Linked DNA regions of Tamandua tetradactyla. The protein of the gene in region 1 purifies or fractionates together with the protein of each later gene. This does not show direct contact. Links are inferred from orthologs where the notes say so. Each region holds a gene or a part of one and is shown in the gene's direction. Other genes may lie near its edges.

Region 1 (7,584 bases):
TGTGCTACCTAGTAGTTAGAATCATTCACCTTTTCAAAGTCAATGCCAGTGTTTCTAATTTTCCTTGTTTTTGGCACCTCAGAGACTTTTCCATCGTGGCAAAGTCCAAAGTAATATTCTGGATAGAAGTATTCTTTTCTTGTGTAAAGTGGGAGAGAACAATTGTGAACAAATTTTTCATTTATATCAATTTTATGAAAGAATATATACAAAAGTTAAAATTCTCAAAGTAGACTTCCTGAAAACTCTTTTCTATATGTTTCTTATATACCACAGTTTGAAGGCATCTGCTTTAGGCTACCTAGTTGTTGGGGACTGAATCATGTCTCCCACAAAAGGCATAATTAAGTGCTAACCCCTGGTCCTGTGAGTGCGTGTGAACTCATTTCTAAACAGGACCTTTGAAGATGTTATTAGTTAAGATGGACAAATTGAATGAGAGTAGGCCTTAATCCAGTATGGTTAAAGTCCTTATAAGCAAAAGAAATTGGGCACAGAGACAACTGTGGGGATTTACCAGAAGCTGGAAGTTAACAGTTCCAGTAAGAAAAAGGATGAGATGCTGCCAGGTGCTTTGCCACATGATGGAAAAGCCAAGGAACTCTAAAGATTGCCGGCCAGCCAGAAGTCAGGGAAAGGCCCTGGGAGGAAGCAAGGTCTCTAGCCTCAGAAAGCAAAAAAATGTCCTGTTCTTAAGGTATTTAATCTAGCAGCCAGGAAACTAAAGCACTTATTGAATACTTCAGTATTCTATCTAAAGTTCCTGAACCAAGTATCAAAGAACCTGGGTCCTACCTAGACAAAAACCAGTAGCACTATATTTCACATTTAGGTGAGTCTAATGGCTATAAAGTTGAAGAACTGTGAAAGTTATATAAGAGAATGTCAGTAAAAACTTAGAATAGTTGGTTCATGGTATGGGCTTTAAAATAATTTTCTTAGTAGTTGAAAATTGTCTGAAGTATAAATTTTGTTGCTGTAATCACAATAAAGCAGATAAAAATGAGAAAAATGGCAATTGTATTGCTGGCAGGTGGAATCTGTGGAAGGCAAATCACATCCGCAGAAAAACTTGACAACTTAAAAGAGAATGAAATTGATCTTGTGATCCCACAAGGAAATAATATGTATTATAGTTAAGTATGTTGAACCTAAAACCTAGTGGTGTTTCCCAGTTATGTCATTTGCTAACTGTCTGACCCTTTCTGAGCCACAACTTTCTCTTCTGTAAAGTGGGGAGATGATGACAGCTAACATCTGTGGAATGTTTATTATGTACCAGGCATAACTGGTATTATTTCATTTGCTCCTCCCAACATCTCTTTGAGGTACTATCTCATTTTACAGCTGGGGATAAAATAAAATAACGAAGATAAAATAAAAGCTCATATCACTTAGTGAGCATAAGCATTCAATAATTGTCAGCTCTTAGTTAAAAAAAAATGAATTAAGCAAAGAATATTTTTGCTTTATACCAGAAGACTTGGCTGCTACCGAAATTTCTAGGTTTTCTGACCTACCTAATGAAAATCTTTTTCTATGCTTAGTAACAACATAATAAACTTCAATCATATTTGGTAGATACTCATATCATGAAAGAGAAATGCATTCTATAGATTCACTTTGGGATCAGAAACTTGGCTGCCAGAGGAAGACTTCCTTTAATCTTTTAGCATACGTGTGTGTGTGTGTGTGTGTGTGTGTGTGTGTGTGTGTGTGTGGTGTTGAATTAATCAAATAATGACAAAAATATATCATTACATATTGTGATAAACTTTAGGAAGTCAAAGGACCTGATCTAGTAGCAAAATACGAATTGCTCCCCCTGGTAAAATGTAGGGAAGATTGCATTTTCTTTATATACTATTTGTTGACTAAAGAGCCTCAAGCTTACTTAGCATATGTGATAAATGCGCAAATCATTCCAAACACCATTGAGTGCCTACCCTATCATCTAAATCACAGATGGGGCTTAATATTTGTTTCATCCTTGACTCTTCCTTCTTTTACATCCTACCCACCCCTAAATCATTGGCTGACCTTCACCATCAGACCAGTTCTTCCCAACTCATTGCTCTTAATCTGTACCAAGTCCCATCATCTCTTCCCTGGATTCCTACAGTAGCCTTCTAGGTAATATGCCTGCTTTTGTCCTGGACCATCCTCAATTTATTCCTCACCTTGTAGTTACAGGAGTCCTTTTATCATGTGGATATATTCAAAACCTTCCATGTCTTTCTACTCAGAGGAAAAGAAAAGGTTCTTACTGTGACCTTTACAAGCCTTTCATGATCTGGCTTTGCCTCTTACCTCTCCTCCTCATGCTACTCCTGTTACACTAGCCCTACCACAGGACTTTTGCCTGTGCTTCTCCCTCTTACGCTGGCAGGACTAGCTCCCTCCCTTCAGCTCTCTGCTCACATGTCACTTTATTAGGGAGACTTTCCCAGGACACACTACCTAACCACGTTACCCCACCCCACACTGTATATCCCTTTTCCCTGATTTTATTTTTCCTTTCTTTTTATTTTACTTCAGTTGGAGTCTACCTCGCATAAACATTCATCTTCTATGTTCCCCACTAGCATACAAATTCTGTGTGTGCCCTACCGTGCCCCAGTGCCCATGGTAGGCATTCAGCACTTGTCCAAAGTAATACATGGTTGAGTGTCCACTGCTGTCTATGGCTCAAGTAATACCTGGGATGGCCTATCACAAAACTCTCTTCCCTATGCCACTTTTCTAACAATTTGGGAAGCACTCAGAAAACATGATAGGAGACCCCACTCAGCCACCACACTAAGGGGCTTCATATCTGCCGCATCCTTTGAGCCCATCCATAGGGAAAAAAAAAAAAGAGATATTAAATTAGTTGATCTCCAAAAGGCCTTAACAGCTTGACAATTCTATGATGCTATGTGGCCAAATTCTCGAGACCTTACTGCAGTTTCAGGGGAAAGGAATTGATACTGCAAGCATGGCTCTTTCCAATAGAAGGGCCCACCTGACTTAGCTCTACAAAGGAGAAAGTGTCTCAGCGTGAAGGAGATTTATTGCATGTGCACTTTGCAAGGAACTGGAGGAATCGTCCCCAAACCAGTTCAAAGTGGGGGTGTGAGGTAGGGTTTTTAAAGGTAAAGGGTAGGACAAATGGATCAAAACCCACGTTACGTCCACAACTTCTTCTTGTCAAGTCAGGGATGACACTGGATCTTTGTGAGGACAGTACCAGCAATTTCTTAATTCTGTTTTGTCTCAAGCACATCTTATTCCAACTTCAGAGATTAGCTTTAGATATATAACGTCCAAGCTCCTACATTCAGGGTCTTCAGGATTCTTTTCAAACTTTTGTCTTTTGAGGAGGAAGTCATTGATTCACTGGGCCAGAGGGTGTTCTTGATGTTATTGTTATTTTATTCCTGTAAAAAGAACTTCCAATGTCTGGTTAATGTCCTTCTGGAACTAAAGTACAAAGAGGAGATTGCTAAACTCAGCTAGGGTAAGCATATTTTCCAGCTATCAGGAAGTAGGAATGGGAAGTCAGCTTAGAAGAAACGGAAAGAATATGGCCTACCTAGTTCAAAACTTGTACTTATGCTTCCCATCCCCCTTCTGTGTCTTAAGACCACCGGTTTAAACATGTTCATTACCAGAGAATGCCAAGGGTCTCTTGGAGCACCGCCTTTAATGGCGGCCAAGGGACCCCCGCATCAACCTGAAGAGATGCCTCACCCACATTTTACCGCTGCGTTAGCACAATTGTGTTCTGCCGGGGATGGTGCAAAAATTTGCTCAGGAAATGCATTTGTGTGAATCAAACATAACAAAGAGCGTTTTATCACGGCCGACAAGTCACCGCGGGTCCCACTCCGTAAGGAACGGGACGCGGCGCATCCATCATGGCCGCCGGCACAAGCGCAGCGAGCAGCAACTGAAAGGAAATGGCGCCAGGGCGCGCGGTCAGTCTCGACAAGGCCGAGCACTGGGGTGAGGGGTCGACAGAGGCACCAGAAACGCCAACCGAGGACCCTTAAGATCTTCTTGAGCTTTTGACACTTGGAGACCCTGAAAATTGACGACTGCAACATGGAAGCTATTTTATCTATAAAGCAACTAGCACAAGCAGCCTTCAGGTTGCGTGCCGCTACTGGAATCCAACAAAACCCTCTATTCTTTAAACAGAATGCTTTACGCATAGTACGCATCTTCGCAATAGTGGGCCGACTAACGCCTCAAAGAATGCTTCGTCGCAACAGAGGCGCGTCCCCCTCCCATCCCCCCACCCCACGTTCTAGTTCAGGTGGCGCGAGAACTCTACGCTCGCTCCGTACTTTATTTTTCTTCCGTGTTCCGTAAAACGTGTCCATCTCCGCAATCGACGTAAACCTCTTTCAAGAATAGCCCTATTACCCCGCGATCCCTCGGGTGATTCTAAGACGCTGTTTACGTATCGTCTCTGACGTACGTAGCGTTGAGCTGGAGCAGTCTCAGCGGCGGCCGCCATTTTGTGCAGCCGCTGGGAAGGAAGGAGACGCCTAAACCGCGGCGAAGCCGGGTTTGAGCGTAGCCAAACCTACCCACCGTTTTTATATCCCCGATTCTCTGTGTTTTGCTCCCGTCTCCGACGAGAGAGGCGGCGACGGTGGCGTCTGCGACGGGAGATAGCGCGTCGGAGCGAGAAAGCGCCGCGCCTGCCGCCGCCCCAACAGCGGAGGCGCCGCCGCCATCGGTCGTCACCAGGCCGGAGCCGCAGGCCCTCCCGAGCCCGGCCATCCGTGCCCCGCTCCCAGATCTCTATCCATTTGGGACCATGCGCGGAGGCGGCTTTGGGGACCGGGACCGGGATCGTGACCGCGGAGGGTAAGGGAGGGAGGAGAAGAAAGACCTTGCGTCTGCGGGGGGTTGGGGGGAGGTGGTACTTGACGAGACGGAAACCTCTGCCCTAACAGGGGATTTGAGGGGATCCTTCCCGAGCCCGGAGGCGAGGAGACCCGGGGCGATAATACCGGTTCAGTGTGCGGGCCTGGGTCTCGGCCCTGGGGTCACTCGTGACCTGGCAGGAGGAGCGGCTGCTTGGCGACGCTCCAGCCACTCCTTACGGACGGTCGTCGTGGCGCGGCCCAGCCCGGGGGGAGCGGAAAGGCCGGGACCGGGTGGGTTGCAGGCAGGAGGGGGAAGGCCCGGCCGCCGCATATTCGTCCTGAGCCTCTCTGTCTTTTAGTGCCAGGCCGATTAGGGCAAGTCATTTGGTCTCTCCAGGCCTCAGCGTTCATCTGTAAAACACATAAGCTCTTTGTTGAGAGAAGAGGATGATACCTCCGAGTTAAGCTTGGGAAAATCTTAACGCGCAAATGGCTTTTCTCGTGTTCTCTATCGCCGGAGATAATTTAGCGGAACTGGAAACAAAGTACTAAAAAATACTAAATCGCCTTTATTTTTTCAAGTCGGAGGAAGCACACGGAGATACTAAAAGCAGTGGAATTACTCAAAGTTGCTGTGTTTACGAAGAAAGGGGGTTTTGTTTTTTTCTTTTCTGGTTTTTATTGTAAAGTTGGCATCTTCTGTTCTCCTCGGTCTGTTTTCTCAGACTGCAGCACTAGCTTCTCGAACAACCTAGAAAGTTTTAATGTGGGAATCCCGGGGTTACTAGGTTGGAAGCTAATGCGGGATTAAACCTGAACTCTTCTTACATGCAGAGATCACAGGCCTTAATGTCGGCTAAAAAAAAGTGCTTACTTATAGAAGTGTATCTCTGGATAAAGAGCAGTGTGATGCCATTTCGTAATATAATGTGACCTTGGGCAGGATCCTCAACCTTTGTGAGCTCATTTTCTCATCTGATGATGGGTGTAATAATTACTTGTCTTTCGTGGTAAGATAAATGATAAAGAAGCACCACTTACTAGCCACAAACCCTCAATTAACACTTTTAATTTACAATATAAAAATTTACTTTTTGGACTTCTACGTTGTTGGAAAAATACTTGATCTCAGTCTCAGTATTAAACATAGAGGCTAGAAATGTGGAATGTTTGCTTTTGTTGTCTTCGTATAGCTAAGTTGAGAAGCGAATTCCAATACAGCCAACTTTAGGAAAAAGAATTTCACAATATATAATACCCGTGAAAATGGCCCAGCAATTTCCTCTCTTTATGCCCTAGACTCTAGGGACTAGAGAAACTTGCACACGTGCCCCCAGGATATATGTAAAAAAATGTTTATAGCAGCATTATTCATGATGGCAGAAGATTGAAAACAACCCGAAAGTCAGGATACATTGTGGGTATTCATATAATAAAATGCAGTACAGCAACAAAAATGAATGAACTTGAATCAGCGTGGGTGACTCCCAAACATATTGAGTTTTTCTAAAATTCAGATCATGGTAGAAGGACAAATTTAGGGATTGAAACAGGTGTGGTAAAACTAAAAAGCAAACTATTTTATAATAAAATGCAACATAGTAGTAATGGTGGTAATTGTAAACTTGAAACAGACACTTGAGAGGCTATGAAAATAATGGTGGTGATCTTCTTACCGTAGGTGTTTGGTTAAGTGTTTGTTTACTTTTTTTTTTTTTTTACATGGGCAGGCACTGGGAATTGAACCCAGGTCCTCGGGCTTGGCAGGCAAGCATTCTTACCTGCTGAGCCACCGTGGCCTGCCCCATGTTTGCTTACTTTATATATGTTTTGAATGAGGAGTTATCTGAAAAGGGAAGGGGGAATGAATTACTAATCCATACTTAGTTTACCCCATATTCCTTGTGTATAAGATAACAGTTTTTAAAAAACTTTAAAAGTTGTTCATTTAAACAGAATGGCACGTATTAAATAAGGCTTAACTCCTAAATCCATCTTCACCATAAAATTTTCTTTATAATTTGTTTCATTCTTAACTGAATATTACATAGTTGAAATGGATTGTTACCTTTAAAGGAAATGGCTGCCAGCCCTGTATGTACATAAACAGTCCAAAGATGATATACATTGTACACTTAAACTAGCATAATTTTCCAAGTCCATACAGAATCCTCAAAGCTGTATTTGTTGCAAAGCCAAGTTGAACTGTTAATACTGAATCAGTAAAATGATTTAATGAACAGCTTTATGCAAAAAACTTGGGGATTTGCATCGCGTATGCTCAGGAATTAAGTAGAGGGCTCTGAGGTTTGAGGTCAGTGTTAATTACAAACGTGGTAGGCAGCATATATTTTAAGAACCTCATCATTCAAGTTAAATCTTGAGTGTAGAATAGTACGTTTTAGGTAAATAGCCAGGATGACTGGAAGAAGGGATTTGTTTTTTATATTTTTAAATAAAAGGCTGCTTAGAATAAACTTTAAAAGAGGAACTTTTCAGTATAATTTTGCGCTGGAAAATCGTCCTGAAAATGGCATTTCTGGGATCCACAAATTTATGTGAAGTAGACGGATGGAATCTCTAAAAACTGGTCTTTGGTTTTTGTGATTTTCTTCAAGACACTAACAGTCTAAAGACTTGGCTTTTTATTTCATGAATAGTATTGCGCTAGCAGCACCCTTTACAAGTAAAGAGGGGAGGGTTGATTCGGGATGACTAGTGG
Region 2 (7,585 bases), on another chromosome or scaffold:
AATTATTTCTTTATTTTGGTATCATATCCTAAATAAAAACAATTTTCACATATACACAACAAAGTTATATCATTTAGGATAAATTAGAAATAAAAAGTATCATTTTCAGTGGGAGAGATTATATTTTATTGTCAGTGTATTATTATTTCAACCCACTATCCTTCAGGTACCAGGAAAGTTTTAGTTGAACTACTTAAAGTATCTCATCACAACAGAATTTAGAGAGTTAAGAACATTCTGATTATATCTAAAGGTAATACAGTGCCACAAGATATATAAACACTGGCCAAACAGTTAATACTACAAAAACAGTTGCATATGAAATACGTGAGAGAATGATGAACTTTCATTTTAGTTAATTATCTAAGGCTAATCCTTTAATAAATTAAAATCCTGAATTTATTTATTCACCATTAGATTTATTAAAAAAAAAAACTAAGGGAGATAATTTTGCTTTTTCATTGCTAATAGTTAAATTCGGCAGACAGCAGTTATACCTGAGGAAACAGTAAAATGTACCACTGAATATATAATATCTATAAGGCATCTTTATATTTTAATGGAGTTAATGCATCAGTGGAGCCAGAATTTCAGAGGATTAAGATCATAGTCAAAAACTTAACTTGACCAGCAACAAAATATAAATGGTGTATAAAGGAGGTTAAGACTTGAAAACTTGTTTCTGGTGCTTTGAAAACTCTTTTTGGAGGAACTGAACTTTAATATGATCCATTTGCATATAAAGGTACTTAGAAAATTATTACAGGAATCCAAAGTAAGACAGAAATTCAATCTCTTTCTTACTCATAAAAATGAGGAAGGTACCTGATTGTTGTGGTAGAAATGTCTTTGCCTACTAAGAAGTGATGTTTGCCCTCTCTGATCTGCTGAGCCCACATGGGATGCAGCCAAACAACATGAGAAAAATGGCCAGCATAAACTGCAGGCATAATCCAGTTCTCGATACTTAATTCTCTAAAAAGGAAATAGAGGAGAAATATTAAAATAAGCAATGAGCATTTTTTCCCCCAAATATAATTTCATCCACAACAATATTTTAAGACAAGTCTCAAAGTTTGGTAAAGGACCCCTAGTGGGGGTGGAGGGAGAGGGAGAAGTATCTCTGAAACTCTTCAGGGTGTTCACTAGGTCAAAATTATTTGCAAAATAATACTAAGATATTATTTGCCTTTTCCACTGTATTATATTTGCAGGGATGGTACAAAAGCAGTGTGGATTGAGGACTTAAGATTAATCAAGGGAGTGACATCAAACTCTACTGGTGGTCACTGTATTCTTCACTACCCAGCAAAACAAACCAGTCTCAAGAAAAGGCACTTTGTGTGACTGAATTGTGAGCTGAGCACCATTTTTTCTTGAAAGGACTCACTAACAAACTACAGTTATTCAGACTTCAGTCTGAATTGTTGGATTCTACATTCCATCTAACCTTTAAGAAACCACTTGTCAAAGTTTAGTGCAGTTCAAAGAATAACATCCACAATGATCTGAAATGCCATGAAAATATCCTTTTCTTTACCAATTACATATGTGTGAGAGGCTGAATTTTCTTCATATACTTCAACTAAAACACATATGGCAACAGACTGAACGCAGAGGCAGATGTAAGAATCCAGGTATCTTCTGAAAAAGCAGCTACTAAAGAGATCTGCAAAATGCAAACAATGCTACTCTTCTCACTAAAATTTCTTTGCTTTGAAATATTAATTTCTTTTTCATAAAATAACAATTATAATACACAGTTGGCTTATTGTTATTTTGAAATGAATCAATAAATATTTTTAAAGTTTCTGATTTAATTGCAAATACAGTAAATGTTGGCAGATATAAGCCACTTTAAAAAAGCTCAATAATTTTTAATAGTGTAAAGGAGTCTTGAGACTGAAAAGTTTAAGAACCATTATTTTAAGACTATACAGTTCTGCAATGTCTGTCTCATATTTCCTCAATTTATAAAATAAAAAACCTAGAAATATAAAAGAAAGTAATGACAATGGTAGAGCCACACAATGCTTTAGAAATTAAGTGTCCAAACTGGGGTTCTGGAAAAACTTAACTGAAAGAAATAGGATAAAATTACTTCACATAAGTATCTATATTTAATTTTATAACACAGCAAAATTACTGCTTTGTAACATTTTATACTATATGAACAGGCTATACTCTAATAATTATATGTCTGAAGAGACAGTGAGAATATTTTGGAGAACTTTATTATAGAGGAGAGGCTAGTAATTATTCAAACATATATTTATTCTACCTGAAGAATGGAGCACAAAGTATCAAGTTTACTTTCAGTTGAATGATTCTATATAACCCTAAAAGTCAACAGGATTTTGACCAAAAATTAAACTAATTGGGATGTAGAAAGGACTGAATACTGGCTAGAAAGATAGGCAAATTAGAGTTGTGTTGCCTACACAATTATTGAACTGTGTGGTTTAGATAAGACATTCTTTCTGTGCCTCAGAATCCAGACTTTTAAAGGGGTAAGAAAGGGAGAACTGGTTCAGATAATTTCTAAAAAACCTCTTCTACTTCTAAAATTCTATATTCTAAATCTGGGGTTGGCAAATTTTGGTTGGGTCCCCTGTAGTTATTCATTTATATAATGTTTCTGTCTGCTTTCATACAAGGGCAGAAATAAGTAGCTGCAAGAGACTGTACGGACAGCAAGGATAAAATATTTACTCTTTGGCTTTTACCTCAAGGTTTGTTGACTCCTGTTCTAAATAAAATTAGAAAGGCAAAAAGGCAAATGAAACAAAAACAAAGCCTATGAGCTTAGTAAAGCCCATCTTCCTTAATTGCTTATCATCTACTGCAAATTGTGTTTCAAGTGCATAAAATATTATTAACAAACATATTACCCAAAGAGTGTTTCCTTGTCAAACACAGTGTCTGCTGGCATATTCACAGGAATAAGGAGGTCTGGATGTGAATCAAAATGCACAAAACTTATATTACTGGCAGGAAGATGCTTTGAACCAATGGCCCGGTATATAAAAGGCAGAACCTGTAAAAGATGCACTCAGAATTGGCACTGAAATCATAAGCACACAATCAAAGGAAGACAGAAAAACAAAACAAACTGCATATACTTTGAAGCACACCAAGTTGCTAATAAAAAAAAGTAAAAAATCTGTTTACCATAGATGATCCAGATACTATCTCAAACCTTATTTTTACCCTCAGAACTTCTAGCTTACACTTTCAAATGGGCAGCTCCAGCTACCATCCTGCCACCACTGCAAACTCAACAGGTAATGTAGGGAAACAAAGCTGAGCTCAGGTACAAACTGCGGGTTTACGTGGGCTCTGGCTTTCACTGTGTGCCCCTGGTAGCCAGGGTCTCCGTGCATTTTTCCCACACCTATGGGATGGTGGGGTTGGACTCGGGCGTAAGGCTCTTTCTCCTTTTACATTTGCTCTAGTTCTAGGTTTAATATTGAATTTGAAAGTACTGCCTAACAACCCGTGCTTCCCCCTTTTCTCAGTCCCGAAAAACCTAATTTCCTTCCTTCAGTATATCCGGAATCGTCCTTTTCCTATTTCATGTCCAGAGAACCTCCGAGGCCTATTAATGCTACGTTTTGAAAACTTCCGAGAGCTATGGGCCACCCTGATAGGTTTCCAGATGCCTACTTTTAGGTACCATTTAAATTCTAATGCAGCACTGCCTTAAAATAGATAACAGTAACAATTTAAAAAGGTTAACAACATCTTTACTATATATGTATTCTGGGCACGTGTTAAAGGATTTATGTGCACGGTATGCACACAATTTCTAAAGGCCCTATGACCGCACGATAATCGTTCCCATTTCACAGATGAGGACCATTATGTGAACAGGGCTTAGAGCAGCACACCCCCAAAATAAATGTTAGATGAGGACTCACGTTCTCAGCATTGCGCCTCCCCTTAAACAGCAGGGCTGTGTGAGTGTGCAGGTTGGGGACACCCGGTTCGGCACACAAACTATGCCCGGGTTCGAATCCGGGAGCCACCAGTTGCTGGTTAAGGGGTTTTGTGCAAACTGTAAGGATTAAACAAGCTGCCCGACGCACAGGAAGCCCATAAACGCCAGTTCCTATTTCCTCAAGTTGCAGCTTTAGTATTTTCCCCACAACAACAGAACTCTGGGAGGTAAACGCCGGTCCTCTGGCCTCCGAGGCCAAGGCTCCGCGGTCTGCCTGGCCTTCGCGCGCCAGTGCCCGGCAGTTGCCCGCTCACCTCTTGATGATCCTCCACCACCCACACCGGGAGCTCGGGGTAGCGCCGCAGACAGGCGCGCTCCCCCGCAGGGCCACTCATGCTTTCGCGGCCGTCAGCCTTCCACAGGCACCGAGACGCCGGCGAGGACACAGAAACCCGAGCTGCGGCCACCGCCACCCTCCCCGGAGGTAGCGCGCGCTCACCCGGTTGCGGTTCCGGATTGGAGGACGGAGAGGTAGGGCGCAGGCGCCGGAGGGCTCCACGGGAGTGATTGGCTGAGATGTCCGTCGCTCCTGAGGACACGCCAATCACCGCGCGCAGGCCGCTGCGGCGAGCCCAAGCGTTTTTCCCTCTCTTGTCTCAGCTTTCGCAGGGTTGCTTTTTAATTCCCTCGGTTTCCTGTTCCGGAGGCGCGGGCGGCGCCACCGCCTTGGCGGCTGCAATATAAGCTTTACTTTTCTCAGTCGGAGCCTTTGCTGCCGGAGAGCCTTTTGTAGGTAAAACGGGTTCGTTGCGGGTGTTGGGAGAGGGTATCTGTTTGAGTGTTCAGATTCAAACGGGGCTGGGGAAGAAGGGGGTTGGGGTCGGGCAGCCTCTCTTCAGACTTGCAGCTAAGGACAAAAAAGCAACCCTAGGCCCAGCTTCCACAAATAAATAGAAGCGAAAAATGAACCTTTCATTCATTTGTGGAGTGCTTGCTGTGGGCCAGGCCCGGTCTCGGAGGGGAGCGAGGCAGTGAGCCCAGCTTTCCTCGTGGGGCTCGCAGTCTGGCGGGAGATGCGAACAGGTTTTTTTTTTTTTTTACGCAGTTACGGAGCCGCGGGATGAAGGTGCCCGGCCTGCGGGCTCAGCTGGGGGAAAGAGGGGATTCTTAAAAACGCAGCAACACCTTGCAGCTCTTTTTTACATAGAGTGACGTTCTTGGGCGTATTAACTATTCACAACATCTCCCTTAATTTCCCTGCATCCAAATAGTAATCTAGGAGTAGGCTGATGCAGAGAGGAATAACTTTTCCAGTTGCATCGAATTCCTTGACTTTTGGGCTCAAGTTTCCATCTGCAGCTCAGTCTGAGTATGCCTTTAAGGTCGGTTTCATGATTAGTGTTTTCAGGTTTTGTACCTAGAAACATAATGTTGAGTGACTTCGATTGCTACCCGCGGTATAAAGTGAGGTGATGATTTTGACTTTGGCCCACCACTAGATTAAGCACACTCCTTTGTGCTCCCTTAGGCTCTGTGTGCACCTCTTTTCTTGTAAATATCTCATTATATTGTATTCTTAAAAAACTTACTTGTTTGGGTTCTGTGCTCCTTCAGCTCTGCAGGATGTGTGTCTTCCTCATCTTTGAATCCCCAAGGTTCGGGTTAGTGCTTTTGATGTACAGGCTCATCTTGTGTTGCATGAATCAGTGAAGAGGCCTGCTTTCTGTTGGGTTTGATAATGCGAATCTGTTGAGGGTATATGTGGAAGCAAAATGTGGAGCAACATAGAGACGTATATCGTTGGTGAGACAGTAAACATTTATTGACCGCCTACTGTATACAGGATGCTCTGCCTGGGGGCTGTGAAGGATACAGAGATGACTGAATCAACCCATGTCATCAAGGAGCTAAAAATCTAGTGGAGGAGTTAGACATGTGCAAACATGACTATAATATGAGGCAGTCTCTGGTAAGTGCTGTAAATGAAGTAAGTACAGGTTAAGAGCAATGCAAGTTTAGAGGGAAAGGGATTGCTTCCTAAGGGGAATCAGGAAAGGCTTCATGGAGGAGGTGGCATTGAGATAGGTGAATGGGTAGGAATTCATTGGGTGGAGATATAGGATGGGGGATTTTAGAGAAGAGGGGAATTAAAAAACCAGCTGAGTGATTGTACTTGGTATGTTAGGCACCTAGGGAAATGTAGAGAATGTTATAGAGGATAAGCCTAGAAGGAGACTTGGGTCCAGTTTGTAGAGGGCTTTAAATAAAAGCATGGAGGTTGAACTTGATTCTGTAGGTGATGAGTAAACTGTGGTGGCATGGTCAGCTGTCTAGACCCCAGGTTTATCATAAGAGTATCAGACTGAATCATACCACTAATCAGATATTATTTGGTACGTACTACTTATTAAGCATGGTGATAGACACACCTAAATAATCTGAAATTATTTTCATGAGTCATGTGAAAGTCTACATTAACCCTATCAGTTAAAAACTTTTCACTAGCCAGACTTTAGGAAGCTGTCTCTACATTAAAGCTTTTTGTACTTAATGTTTACTTGAGTTTTTTAAAAAAGCACTTCACTGAATTTCATGTATTTGGAAGGCTATTCATGTTCACAGTAGTGTTCTGTAGGAAGAGTTGAGAATGAAAATCTAAGAATAATAGTTTTGTTTGTCATGAGTTTTAATTCAGTTTCATCTGCACTTATTTTGTCGGTGTGCTAAGTGCATTGGGGAATACAAAATCAGTGTTAAGATAATTGCAGGGCATATTTTAAAATGTGTACAGTTTGGAAAACATTTTAATGTATATTTTTTATGTCCTTTAAAGCTGATATTCTCTGTGGAAGAAGATGTGATATATCCAGATAGTACATCATGATGCAAGGCAATACATGGTGAGTGGTGGGATCGTAATGGCAGAAGCTTAGGAGAATGCAGAGAGGAGCAAACACTGTGTTGGGCCATAGAAGATAGGAAGGATTCAAATGTGTGGGTAGGAGGGAGATGTGTTCATTTTTTCAGCAGTGGGCCATGATGGACTTGCAGTTCTGAGGAGCAGACAGACATTAAAGGTGGAATTATGTAATTAGCCAGTAGATTATATTATTGTGGGAACTATGAAGAAATAACATAGTGTTGTGAGATCAGGGAACCTAGAGAAGTCCTGGGGGGGCGGTGATAGTGGTTGCGGAAGGCCAGTAAGGATGTTATTATAAGCCAGACAAGAGATGACATTATGAAGTGGATGAATTCAAGAAGTGTTTAGGAAGGGGAAATGACAGGAAATTATTAACAATTAGCCAAGGGGGGAGAGGGAGGAAAAGTTGTCAAATGATTGCCTGGTGTTAAAACTTGAGGACCTGGGTGAAATACCAAAAAAGGAGCAAAGATCGTTGTCTTGAACAGGCAATTCATTACTTCCTTTTAGGATGTATTAGGTTGAATTTGAAGAATCAGACATTCAGGGAGAGAGGTTGGATTGAAAACTGGCAATGTGGGTCTGGAGCTCAGAAGTTGGTGACTAGTGATATAACTTTGGGAGTTACTCCTAAATGATGCTAATCGGAAAAACACAGGTGGGTAGGGAAGAGTGAGCAGAATGCCCAGGCTGGAGCCCTGAGGAATTCAAATGTTTGAGGG

The links.
Region 2: the proteins of DDX17 (region 1) and DROSHA purify together in Homo sapiens (co-immunoprecipitation; 3 studies listed by IntAct, with this or other methods). This does not show direct contact. The link is inferred for Tamandua tetradactyla from reciprocal best matches to the Homo sapiens genes DDX17 and DROSHA.

The regions. Positions count from the first base shown.
Region 1 is NC_135333.1:30,849,965-30,857,548, reverse strand, and holds the start of DDX17 (putative ATP-dependent RNA helicase DDX17), read left to right. Parts: upstream 1-4,567; 5' UTR 4,568-4,810; coding exon 4,811-4,860; intron 4,861-7,584. UniProt on the Homo sapiens protein: As an RNA helicase, unwinds RNA and alters RNA structures through ATP binding and hydrolysis.
Region 2 is NC_135335.1:81,077,080-81,084,664, reverse strand, and holds the start of DROSHA (ribonuclease 3), read left to right. Parts: upstream 1-4,568; 5' UTR 4,569-4,733; intron 4,734-5,783; exon of another isoform or gene 5,784-5,909; intron 5,910-6,773; 5' UTR 6,774-6,820; coding exon 6,821-6,840; intron 6,841-7,585. Other genes in the region: C9H5orf22 (UPF0489 protein C5orf22 homolog), read right to left, coding at 826-975, 2,892-3,037, 4,255-4,335. UniProt on the Homo sapiens protein: Ribonuclease III double-stranded (ds) RNA-specific endoribonuclease that is involved in the initial step of microRNA (miRNA) biogenesis.